Cricetulus griseus: one gene and its partners. The protein of the gene in region 3 purifies or fractionates together with the protein of the main gene of each other region. This does not show direct contact. Links are inferred from orthologs where the notes say so. Each region holds a gene or a part of one and is shown on either strand. Other genes may lie near its edges.

What was found.
Region 1: the proteins of Rpp40 (region 3) and Pop4 purify together in Homo sapiens (affinity purification with mass spectrometry; 3 studies listed by BioGRID and IntAct, counting the BioPlex papers as one, with this or other methods). This does not show direct contact. The link is inferred for Cricetulus griseus from reciprocal best matches to the Homo sapiens genes RPP40 and POP4.
Region 2: the proteins of Rpp40 (region 3) and Rpp25 purify together in Homo sapiens (affinity purification with mass spectrometry; 3 studies listed by BioGRID and IntAct, counting the BioPlex papers as one, with this or other methods). This does not show direct contact. The link is inferred for Cricetulus griseus from reciprocal best matches to the Homo sapiens genes RPP40 and RPP25.

What each region holds. Positions count from the first base shown.
Region 1 is NC_048599.1:152,153,608-152,157,840, forward strand, and holds the start of Pop4 (ribonuclease P protein subunit p29), read left to right. Parts: upstream 1-1,288; 5' UTR 1,289-1,517; coding exon 1,518-1,524; intron 1,525-3,584; coding exon 3,585-3,637; intron 3,638-4,233. UniProt on the Homo sapiens protein: Component of ribonuclease P, a ribonucleoprotein complex that generates mature tRNA molecules by cleaving their 5'-ends.
Region 2 is NC_048597.1:169,124,907-169,127,698, forward strand, and holds Rpp25 (ribonuclease P protein subunit p25), read left to right. Parts: upstream 1-1,481; coding exon 1,482-2,081; 3' UTR 2,082-2,266; downstream 2,267-2,792. UniProt on the Homo sapiens protein: Component of ribonuclease P, a ribonucleoprotein complex that generates mature tRNA molecules by cleaving their 5'-ends. Also a component of the MRP ribonuclease complex, which cleaves pre-rRNA sequences.
Region 3 is NC_048596.1:255,639,274-255,643,623, reverse strand, and holds the start of Rpp40 (ribonuclease P protein subunit p40), read left to right. Parts: upstream 1-1,544; 5' UTR 1,545-1,582; coding exon 1,583-1,705; intron 1,706-3,255; coding exon 3,256-3,400; intron 3,401-4,350. UniProt on the Homo sapiens protein: Component of ribonuclease P, a ribonucleoprotein complex that generates mature tRNA molecules by cleaving their 5'-ends. Also a component of the MRP ribonuclease complex, which cleaves pre-rRNA sequences.

The DNA of each region.
Region 1 (4,233 bases), on a different chromosome or scaffold from region 3:
CTCAAATACACTCTGATAGATGCTAAAATAGTTGCAGGCCTTTGTAAAGGAAACACATTTAGTGACCATCCTGCTGTTATCAGGCTGTCCCCAAACTCTAAATCCTATGTGCCTTACCATGTCCTGTACTGCTTAAGATCAAAATGGCACACACTTATCACCCAAAGATCTACAAAGCCTATGTTTCTTAAACAAGGATGCGGTGTTGTTTGCCCAAGTTTTTCTGAGAATTCTTTTTGCCTTTAAAAGGTTGCATAGTGCTCACTATTAAGAAAACCACTGCTTTCCCTTACCCACCCTCCAAGTTAGATCCAGCACTCAGGAAATTAAAGGCAGTGTCTGGACAGAACCAAGGCAACCTGAGCAGGCTTGGCTGGACCTTTGGATTCCAGAGAATCACTTTTTGTCTTTTATCATACTGACAGCACCAATTCTCCCAGTCTCAAGGATGCTTTTTGGGTTGGATGCAGGAAGGGAAGCCTACACAGGAATACTCCATTTCCAAGATCAGCCTAGGCTACATAGCAAATGTCTGGGCTACTCAGGGAGACTTTGTCTTTAGAGGAGAAAAATAAATTTAAAAAGCAAGTGTTCTGAGACCAAAGCCAGCTAAAGTTACTCTCTCTTTTCAGTCATAGGAAACAGACCCTTAAACGAGGTGATAAAAGTACTTAGTAGCTGAAACAGATGTAAATCCCCATCATCATTACACAATGTGACTAGTAATACTGTGAATGAATTCTAGGACAGCCATGGGCATTGACTCCCTTGCTTAAAAAATAAATAAATAAATAAATAAATAAATAAATAAATAAATAAATAAATAAATAAAACTGAGGGTTGTGGCAGTTGCCTTTAATCCAGCACGCAGGAGGCAGAGGCAGGAGGATCTCTGAGTTTGAGGCTGCCTGGTCTACAGAGTGAGTTCCAGGTCGGGCAGCGCTGTTAAACAGTGGAAACCCTGTCAGGGAAAACTGAAGGGAAAACAAAACTCCAAAGGACTCCTAAACCCTCACTGCAGCCATTACCTCCGCTATTTCAGGCGCATTCGGGCCTTCCTGGCCCCAGTCTCCCTGGCGTCCTCTTCAGGACAGCTCGCCTCCTGTGTTCCTGTGTTCTGACCCGCAACCCGACTGTGGCCGCCAGGGGGCGACACCAACTGAAGAGACAGCGAAAAACAGGCTCCGCTCCGCCAGCCACAGACGCGGCCGCCTCCCTCGCCCCTCCCTCGGCTGCAGAGCCAAACACAAGGCGCATGTCCGCCAGAGGCCGGCGCGGCTCCATGACGTCACGCGAGGCGCCATAGCGGAAGTCAGATCGGGGTCCATTGAAGTACTGGAGCGAGTCTGTGTGTGGACTGTGCCCGCGTCGTTTCTTGGGCACAGCGGATTTGTCCAGCGGAAATTTCAACCAGAAAGAGTCCCGGTGGCCGAAAGCTGCTGAAGAGAGCTAATAAAGGGAAGCAGTGAGCGAGGCCCGAAGGAGACTTCACCAGAGCTCGCGGGAAGCCGCCGACAATGAAGGGTCAGTGTCACGAGAGATTCGAAATCGGGGTGGATGACAGCATAGAGGGTCGGGAATGGAAGCCGAATCAGGGATCCTGTCACAACAGAGTCCCGAGACAACTTCCAGGCAACTGACTCAGTACACAAAAGCAGTCGAGGCCCAGAGTGTGAATCGGCCAACTCAGTCTCTAAGCTGGAATAGATGTCAGGATGAGTGTGTGGTACCCCAGGGAACTGGTGACGCTCAGGAGAACTGGAAGAGGTGCAGCCAAGGCCTTTAGCTTGTCCTGACCACTGCCTGCCTGTATAACTATTGCTCCCTTCCACATCCTGGCTTTTCACCCTTTCTCTTATAAAAAGCTTCCCGGGCGCAGTGTCACAAACCTAAGGCGTTGGTATTTGAGCAGAAAAGGGATGAGCCAGGAAGGGAAGCAAGCACTGGAGCGGTATTAGAGCAGAGAGAGCACAATGTAAAGATTAAGCCTCTGATCTAATGATTTCCACCCCTGCTGTGTCCTTTCATCCTCTGATGCCTTGGCATGACTCAATGTCAATATTATTATGTGCATACAAGGAAATAATTATATTCCGAATGGCTTAGAAAGGTTAATGAGATTGAAATAAATTATATACACACCTATGAGTATATATATGTACTTATGTATGCATGTATGTATGCATGTATGTGTTGCTGTAAAACAAGTACTTGACAAGCACTGAGTGTACCAGAGCTGTCACATGTGTACTGCAGCAGGAAGTCTTCCAGCTCTCATGCTAGGCATCTGCAGTAGGTAAAGCAACATTATTCCTGGGGTCCCAGGCCCTGCACATTTTCCTCAAGAAACAAAGTATAGTCTTAATCTGCAGTTCAAGGGAGAACTAAAGATTTTGTATGTAAAACTGGTAACTCTCTGGTCAGACATGTACCCAGGGAAGCACAAGAGAACAGACATGGGCTTTTGTTTGTTGGTTTGTTATTGTAGCTGTTGGGATGAGGTCAGCTATGTAGTCCTGACTGAGCTGGGACTCACTATGTAAGCTAGGCTGCCTCACCCTCTGAAGTGATGGGATCAACTGTGTGTGCCACCACACCCAGCTCAGAGACTGAGTGTATAGGGTGTAGTGTGAGCTACATATTCTGGTCATTTGCTCTTTCTTATCTCCTTTATTCCTGTACTCTGCCCCCACCACCATGGTGGTTTCCTCCAAACAAATACCAAACAGGAGCATGAGGTTTAGAGAAAGTTTGGCATCATGCTGGACATATTTAGAATTTGAAGAAAGACTGTTGTATCTATCTGGTCAGGGTACATTCCAATTTTATGGATTAAAGACTTAAAAATCTGTTTTAAACTTCTTGTACTCTGCAAATTGTTCAGTTTCAATCAACCACACCCTAGCCATTAATATCACCTCACTTTTAGTGTCTTCACTACTAAGTGAGCAACCACCCAAGCATAATTATAACTTGTATTTTCAATCAATCAATGTGCACCATTGAGGAATTTTTTTGGACATGCAGAGTCTAGAGTAGAAATTAAAACCGGTGTCTTTATAAGAGTCCAGTGATTCTTAAACAAGTTAAGCTTTGAGAGGTGCTCTTTTAAACCTCATCCTGGGAATTTCCAGGACAAATCTCTGGCCAAGGGAAGAGTAAAATGTATCTGGGATAATTGTGGTGGTACACGTGTATAATCCAGCAACTAGCACTTGGGTGCCTAAGACAGGAGTACTGAGGGTTTAAGGCCACTGTGGGCTATATAGCGAACTCTAAGCCAGCCCAGGATACAAACTGAAAGCCTGTCTTTAAATAAATGTGTAAATAAGCCGCATTGAGTAGGGTCGGGGGCATGGATCCATGGTGAAGCCTGCCCTGCATTAAACCCCACTGAGTTTAATCTCCTGGCACTGCAGAGTATAATAGAAGGATCATCCAAGAAAGCTTTGCCTTTTCATACTAACCCAGTAGTCCTCATCTGAATAAGAGTGCTTATTCAGAAGTCATAGTTGGAAAAGCCTTGGATATTATACTCACTCCTCACAGGAAGTAATCTTCTCTTTTTGTCTTTTATCCCCCAGCTGTGATTTACCATGCCCTTTCTCATAAAGAAGCCAAAGAGCACGATGTACAGGTACAATCTTTGAAAGGTGGGCTGGGAGCAGGAGACGTGGCAACAAAGATGGCTCAGAGTCTGGTCTAGCTGTCCTTCCCATGGATTACTTCTCATCTTTACATTCAGTACATTAGGCCCCATCAAGGTCTTTAGTGCTGATGTCTTCTTGTGCCAGGCTCCTTTCCTAGGGTACCAGAGTCACTCTGAGGGACTTGGATTCCTTGATTTCATGTCATCTCCCACTCTGTAGGGAATGACAGTGACAGCCTGTGCCTGAAACCTCTCTTGTTCTTGCTTCTCTGCCCTGTTCAGTGTGCTCAGCCTATTTCATAAGTGAATGTTACAGATTCTATCTGGGTATGTCAGCAAGCTTTGTCAGTTGGGCTGAAGCTTCACATGTGGCTCATAAAGAGAGCATATTCTGCCAGGCTGTGTGGAGCTTGCCTTTAATCCCGGCACGTGGGAGGGAGAAGCAAGAAGCTGTCTCATTTCAAGGACAGCCAGAGCTACACAGAGAAAACCCGTTCCTGAAAAACAAACAAACAAAAACACACACAGACACACAGACACACAGACACACAGACACACACACACACACACACACACACACACAC
Region 2 (2,792 bases), on a different chromosome or scaffold from region 3:
TGTTCTGAGCTGCGAGGGGCCGAGAACTGTCACCGATAGCTAAGAGTTAGAGGAGGGCCAGGCAGCCCTCACCTAGACTGAAGCTGTGCCCATCCAGGTACCGTCGTGCTCACAATACCCTCGGGGTCACCTGCTCCCTACAGCCTTCGGTGCTTCTTCCTTGCCCTCGCTTTAGCAGGTCTGTCAGGCTCCCTGCATTCTGTGAAAGCCAGGCTGGAGACTGAAGGACATGCATGGTCCCTCCCTCACTCCTTATGAAAGATTCTTCCTCCCACCAGTCCTTCGTCCCTAGCCGTGTCTTTCTATTGTTCATCTCACCTCGCAGCAGAGCCCGAGCCTCTCCTTATGCTCGATGGAGTTTCCAGAGGTTACCCCAAATCCCAAAATCCGCCCCCAAGGCTTCAACTCCACCCCGCTTCCCATCTCTCAAAACCTCTCAGTCCCTTTCAGCAAAAACAGCCCTCTGGATTGCTAGGAGCCAAGACTGATTCCTCATGGGTTTGGAAGTGATAAATCCGTGTCGGCAGGGACTGAGCCAGGCAGATAAGAATGCGTGCAGCTCTAGTAAAGGACCTTCAGGCATGAATACATACAACAACGTTAACGCCTTGGAAGAAATGGTCTCGTTTTCTTCCCATTCACTTTAGGCTGGCCCTGCGCATCACTTCCTGCATTTCAGGGGTGTGAGGGTACCAGGAGCCTGGAGGTCTGGCTAAGAAGAGCGAGGCTGAAACCTAGATAGATCTCTCTAAGCAGCTAGGCAAGGACCATGCTGCGACGTAGCGGTCCGAATCCTAGGAAGGCGCAACGTGTAGCGGAGCCAACTCCTCTCACACCCTGCTGACCATGCACTGGCTGTCCTTGAGGCAAGAATACTAAGGAGAGAGAGGGGGGGTCTCTGGAGGGTTGGAGGAGTGAGGCCCCGGGAGATGGTTCGGAAATCTCTTACCTAGGAGGGGGTCTAGGGATGCCCTTGAGCTGGAACCCCCAAGGCTCGGGAACCGGGTTTGAATCGGCGTCTGTACCTCAAGCATGGTTTTTTATTTAGGTTGCTCCTACGTGAGGACTGGTTCAGGGAGGACCGATGGTTACTTCGGGAAACTTCGCCTCCCAAGTCACCCCTGGCGCTGTGACCCCAGCCGCTGAGCACTAGCGCTTGATCCCAAAGGCTGGCTGGGCTGGGACTCGGACAAGTCACGCAGAGTTGGGGCGGGGCCTGGACGAAGGGGCGGGGCCTCTCGGGCTCCCAGGCGGAGCTTCTGCTAAAGGCGCGGAGCACAAGGCGCCGAGGGCTCAGAGTAGAGCAGCACCACCCGGTAGGAATCTGGGCTGGAGACTGCGTGTCCACAGCCCACCCTCAGCTTCCACTCGGTGCCGGCATCCCAACCCCTACCGGCCGTCGCCCGGCGCGACCCCGGCCATGCAGCCCCGGGCTTGAAGCGACCCCATGGCAAAACCTGCGATCCCAGCGACGACGGCGCATGGAGAACTTCCGTAAGGTGCGCTCGGAGGAGGCGCCGGCGGGGGACGGTGATGAGGGTGGCAGCCTGAACTCTGGCCCTTTCGCAGACCTGGCGCCCGGTGCTGTACACATGCGGGTCAAGGAGGGCAGCAAGATCCGCAACCTGCTGGCCTTTGCCACCGCCAGCATGGCGCAGCCAGCCACGCGCGCCATCGTCTTCAGCGGCTGCGGCCGGGCCACCACCAAAACCGTCACGTGCGTCGAGATCCTCAAGCGCCGCCTGGCGGGCTTACACCAGGTCACGCGGCTGCGCTACCGGAGCGTGCGCGAGGTGTGGCAGAGCCTCCCGCCTGGGCCCACGCGGGGTCAGACGCCTGACGATCCGGCCGCCAGTCTCAGTGTACTTAAGAATGTACCGAGCCTGGCCATCCTACTTTCAAAGGACGCATTGGATCCACTACAACTCGGCTACCAGCCTCCGAACCTCAATCCTGGTCCTTCGTCCACTCCTACGGTGTCGACGTCCAAGAGGAGCCTGGGGGAATCTGCTGCTGGAGAAAGCACCGCTAAACGGTCTCAGCCTGAGCCAGGGGCTGAGAATGAGGACTCGACCGCCTGAGAACTCCTGGCTCTGAGCCACCTCAACACTCCCACATCCTCGTGCACTTTCATACCAAGGTTTTAAGGGGCCCATGTTCCTGGACTGGAAGATTGACAGCAGGGATCCCAAGGCGACCAGAGAGGGAGCTCAGGAATGATAAGAGGATCCCCTGAAGTCCAAGAAAACTTTGTGGGAAGTGTTGCCAGAAGCCACAGAACTCCACCCCCACTTTTTCTAGGCCATCCTGGGATCTTTTTTAGTGAAGCATGGTGGATAGTGAAGACTCTTGAGCCTTCTTGGGGACCCAGACTTTAAAAGCACCCAGAATGCGCAAAAACTGACAGTTGAGGGTCTTGAAATCATTCTTGCTGTTTGTTGACTGAGGGCCGGGGCTGCGACGTAGATTCCTTGAGGGTGGCCAAGTTGAAAATGTTAGGACCCTATTCTGCCCACTCACCGCCTGGCAATTCCCCTTTTTAGCTTTTCTTCCTCTTAGCATCCCCCCCCCCCCTTTTGCATGGTGGTGGATAGGAGACCCAGGACAAAACTTTCCACGCCTCCTCCCCTGAGTCCTACTGCTGGAGTCTTGCTTCCAATAAAACAAACATGAAAATGGCTCTGTCCCCAGAATTGTTTTTTGTTTTTTCCTTACCTACCCGCCTGTGCAGAGACACTTTGGCATGCTTGCCTTCAACCTTATTAGCCTTTGGAGTGTTCAAGGTCAGACAC
Region 3 (4,350 bases):
GCAAAGCAACAATAACAAAGCAACTCTCCCAGCCTGGTGGTGCATACTTTTCATCTCAGCGATTGGCCAAGCTTTCATAATTAATAACAAGTCTCTATATCATTATCTGGGAGCTGGTTGGTGGGACAGGGAAAGACTTGCCACAGAGTCCCAGGCCAGTCAGGATATATAATGAGACCCTCTCTCCAAACAACTCAACAACTGGATTCAAAGCTACTGAAATAGGTAAAATGCTGGGTGATTTCAGAAGTTTACCAGTAAAAATAAGCCCTCAAAAACAGACGCCAACAAAAGGACATGGAGAGGAAAGTCAGCTGCACACATATGTTTAGCAAAATAGATGAGAAAAATCAACAATATGGCTTTTAAAAAAATCAACTACTTGGAAGTACAATTCAGCAAAAAAACTGAGATTTGGGGGGAAATGACACAAGTAGAAATGTTGTAAATGAAAAAATAAATCATACAATCAAAACGCAAAACAAAGGCAACCTGGTGGAAGTAGAAATACCACAATATTTCCCCCCACTTTTCGGTAGGGCTCAGTGGGAACTTAGTGTTATTGTTTTGTTTAAAAAGAAGAAAAGAGAAATGCTGAGACATACATATTGACTATAAGTTTATTATAAGGCCTGGCAGAATGGGGAGACTAAGAAGAGGAACAGGGTAAATGGCTGACCGACTGGCCGGTGGCCATAGAGAGACAGAGCGGGGGAAACAGAGAGAGGGGAACAGAGCGCCCAGAGAGCGGGACAGAGAAACAGAGAGCGTAAATGGGCAGGTGCCTATCTTTTAAAGGGTTCCTCTGCACCTCCATGCAGACTTAGTTCCCATGGAACCTTGGGTTGACCAGGGTTCTGCCTGAGTGGATTCCACCAGGTAACAGGGGCAGGCCAGCATAATGCCTGAACCTTTCACTTAGGGGCCTGTGGGTAGGTGTGCACTAGGAAGGAGACCATGTGAGGAGTGAGGAAAGTGTGTCGCAAAGCAGGTGACTTTCCTGACTACTGGACCTTTGCTGTGTCTTGTCATCTTTTAAAAATTAATTTTTATTTAAATTAAAATCTTATTTTAATACCAATCCCAGTTCCTTCTCCCTCCCGGCTTCCCATTTCCCCCTCCAACTCCCCATCCCAATCCCCAAGTCTGTCACATCATTTGGGGTAGGACCTCGGCCCTCCTGCGTGTATCTAGGGTGAGAGAGTCTCCCTCCACAGGGATTATCATCCCTTTTATAACGTGGCAGAGTACAGCCTTCTCTGAGTCCTGCTCAGGTATGCGCTGTTCCTCCCCTGAGAAGTCTGTGGAATGGAATGGATGTGTCAGGTCCTCGAGAACCTTCACAGTTCTTTACAAGCCTAATAAAGCTCATTCAACTCCTACCCAATGCCCCTAGGAACTGACAGCAAAGGGGAAGCAAGGAAGGGTTAGGGGCGTGGCTGTGGCAATAGAAAGGGCAAATGGTGGAGTGAGGGGCGGTCCGGGAGGCGGGGCCGACAGGAAGGCGGGGCATCCGAAAGGCGGGGCGATCCGAAAGGCGGGGCGATCCGGAAGGCGGGGCGACTCAAGACTCGTGCTGAACATGGCCACGCTGCGCCGGCTTTTCGCCGCTCCGCGGCACTTAATGGTCTGTGAGAAATCCAACTTCGGCCACGAAAAGTCTCGTCACAAACAACACGTGGAGACTCATTATCACAATTACAGGGTGAGTCAGGTCCACCCGGCCTTCTTTGGTTTAGGGTAGAGCCTCTCTGGGTTTCCCTCGGCGGGACCTCCTCGTCTTGAGGGGGCGGACAGAGTCTGTCGCCAAGCATGCTGGGGACTGTAGTCTCTTTAGTTTGCCGAGCGCCTTTCTTGGAGGCGTGTAGGACTGCAACTCCCAGCATGAGCTGGGACGCAGGGTGGTGCTCCGCCTTTAAGGAACAGCGCAGTGTTGTGTTGGTTTTCTGAGTTTGGCTGGTAATTGCTGGGTTCAGAACTGGTTCTCCCACTGTCCGCGGTAGCCAGGTGAAGGGTTGAGCAGGCCCCGAGGAGTTAGGAGTATGACATGTAGCTGCCTTTTGCCCTAAATTTAGGTTTGGTCTCTCCGTAGCTCCGTTTATGCCTCTTTCCAAAATACTACCGGGTTTGACTGACAAATAAGGAACTCCAAAAAACTCGCCTGAAGACGATAAGGGCTTACGCTTTTTACACCTTAAATATCGGCTTGATAACGTTTCTCAGAAACATTAACCGGCGTCCTTGTTTCTCAGGCGCAGGCTGGTTGTTGGAGCTTTGCGAGACGGACTTTAGATGTGCCCTTGGGGATCATTTGAGATCCGCGCGGATTTTACTTCTCCACTTGGTTGAAATCTCTGACTGTTACTTAACGTTTGTCTACAAAAATGGGAGCATCCAGGAGCACTTCTGTTTCTATGTCTCTAAACACCTTATGCTCCCAGGAACAGTTCCTTTGGTTTTCTGTGACTCCAGAGTAAACAAATCAAGGCATGGTGAATTACACTGTACTTCCTTGAATATAAAGTGTGAAGGACATAACATGTGCTCCTCATGTGCAAAAGATAAAATTTAAGCAAGACTTCCATTACATTTCTATTTAGTCACTCGCCGCACATTGCAATGTAGAAATGAGAAACTTGGAGTAATCAAATATGTTTGCCTGAGATTGATAGATTAAAAAATCTGTTCCGGGTTGGGTGGTGGTGGTATACACCTTTAATCCCAGCACTCCAGAAGCAGAGGGGCCAGCCTCGTCTACAAAGCCGATTCCAGGACAAGCTCCAAAGCTATACAGAGAAGCCCTGTCTCAAAACACCAAATGAAAAAAAAAAAAAGATTTGTTCCTAGCAGGGCAGAGGTGGTACACACCTTTAATCCCAGACAGAGGCAGGTAGATCTCTGAGTTCAAGGAGAAAAAAAAAAATTTTTTAAGATTTATTTAATTATTATGTACAGTGTTCTGCCTGCATGTATGTCTGCAGGCCAGAAGAAGGCACCAGATTTCATTACAGATAGCTGTGAGCCACCATGTGGTTGCTGAAAATTGAATTCAGGACCTTTGGAAGAGCAGGCAGTGCTCTTAACCACTGAGCCATCTCTCCAGCCCCAGGAAAAAAAAAATTTAAAAGACTTTTGCCTGTGTTTGTATGTTCCAGTAAAACCTGTGAAGGAATAGCTAGCAATTTTCATATTTCACTCCTAAAAACATGATGTTAATAAAAGAATGACTTTGCTTGTACTTTTATATTCCAACAGGTTTCATTTCTTATTCCTGAATGTGGGCTGCTACCAAAAGAACTGAAAAGCCTGGCCATGGAATTTGGGCCCTATTACTCTGTGAAGAATTTACCTCTTCATGAACTAGTTACACATGAGTTCATCCACACATTTGTAAAGAAAGGTAAGAAAAGGCACTCAGGGATCTAAGATATAGATAAAAACTACTTCACTTCTACTACTAATACTACAGCTATTAAAGAATTAGGAAGAATGTAAACATCTTATGACAGTTCAACAATATAAAGGAACTCGAATTTAATTATCAGGACTTTTTTTCAGATACCTCATTAATGAATCCTAATTTCATTCCACCGGAGTAAAATAATTGAATTACTTAACTTACTTGGAAATCATGTTATGCCCAGAAAAGAGTCCATTTTGGTAAACTGCTGATCCATGATTCTTGTTGGGTGGAATACTTTCTAAATACCTATCTAATCACGTTGGCTGGAGTAGTCAAGTCCACCATTCCTGCTGAGTTTTTACTTGCTTTTTTAAATTGATTATTGAAAGAAAATACTCACATTGCCTTCTGTAATAATTGTGGATCTGTATATTCCTCTTTGCAGTCTGTCAAGTTTTCCTTCATACATTTTGAAGCTCTCTTATTTGATGTATACATGTTTAGGGCTGCTGACTAACTGGCTCCTTTATCATGCCATGCCCTTTATCTCTGTGATACTAACAAAATTAATCCAGTGTTGTCTGGCTAGTCTTAGTATGGCATATAAAAAAACTTTACTGAATTTTAACCAGTTGAGACCATGTATTCAAAGTGTGTTTTGTGTTTATTTTACTTCATTTTAATTGATAGTAAAAGTTACATTTATGTATACATAAAAGAAAAGGCACTCAGTGTCTCATATGAAAAAGGCAAGATGAAGAGCTATGGGAAAGACCATAGTAAAATACTGAAGTTCTTCACTTGTTTTCAAAAGGTCCTGCAGAGGATAGACCATGTATGTGGTTAGCTGCATGTATCACTTCTCCATCTGTCCATAGTGTTCAGTCTCCTCTTTCCTGTGTCCTCTTCAGGTGATGGCTAAGTATCTTACCAAATTTGATTAGCCT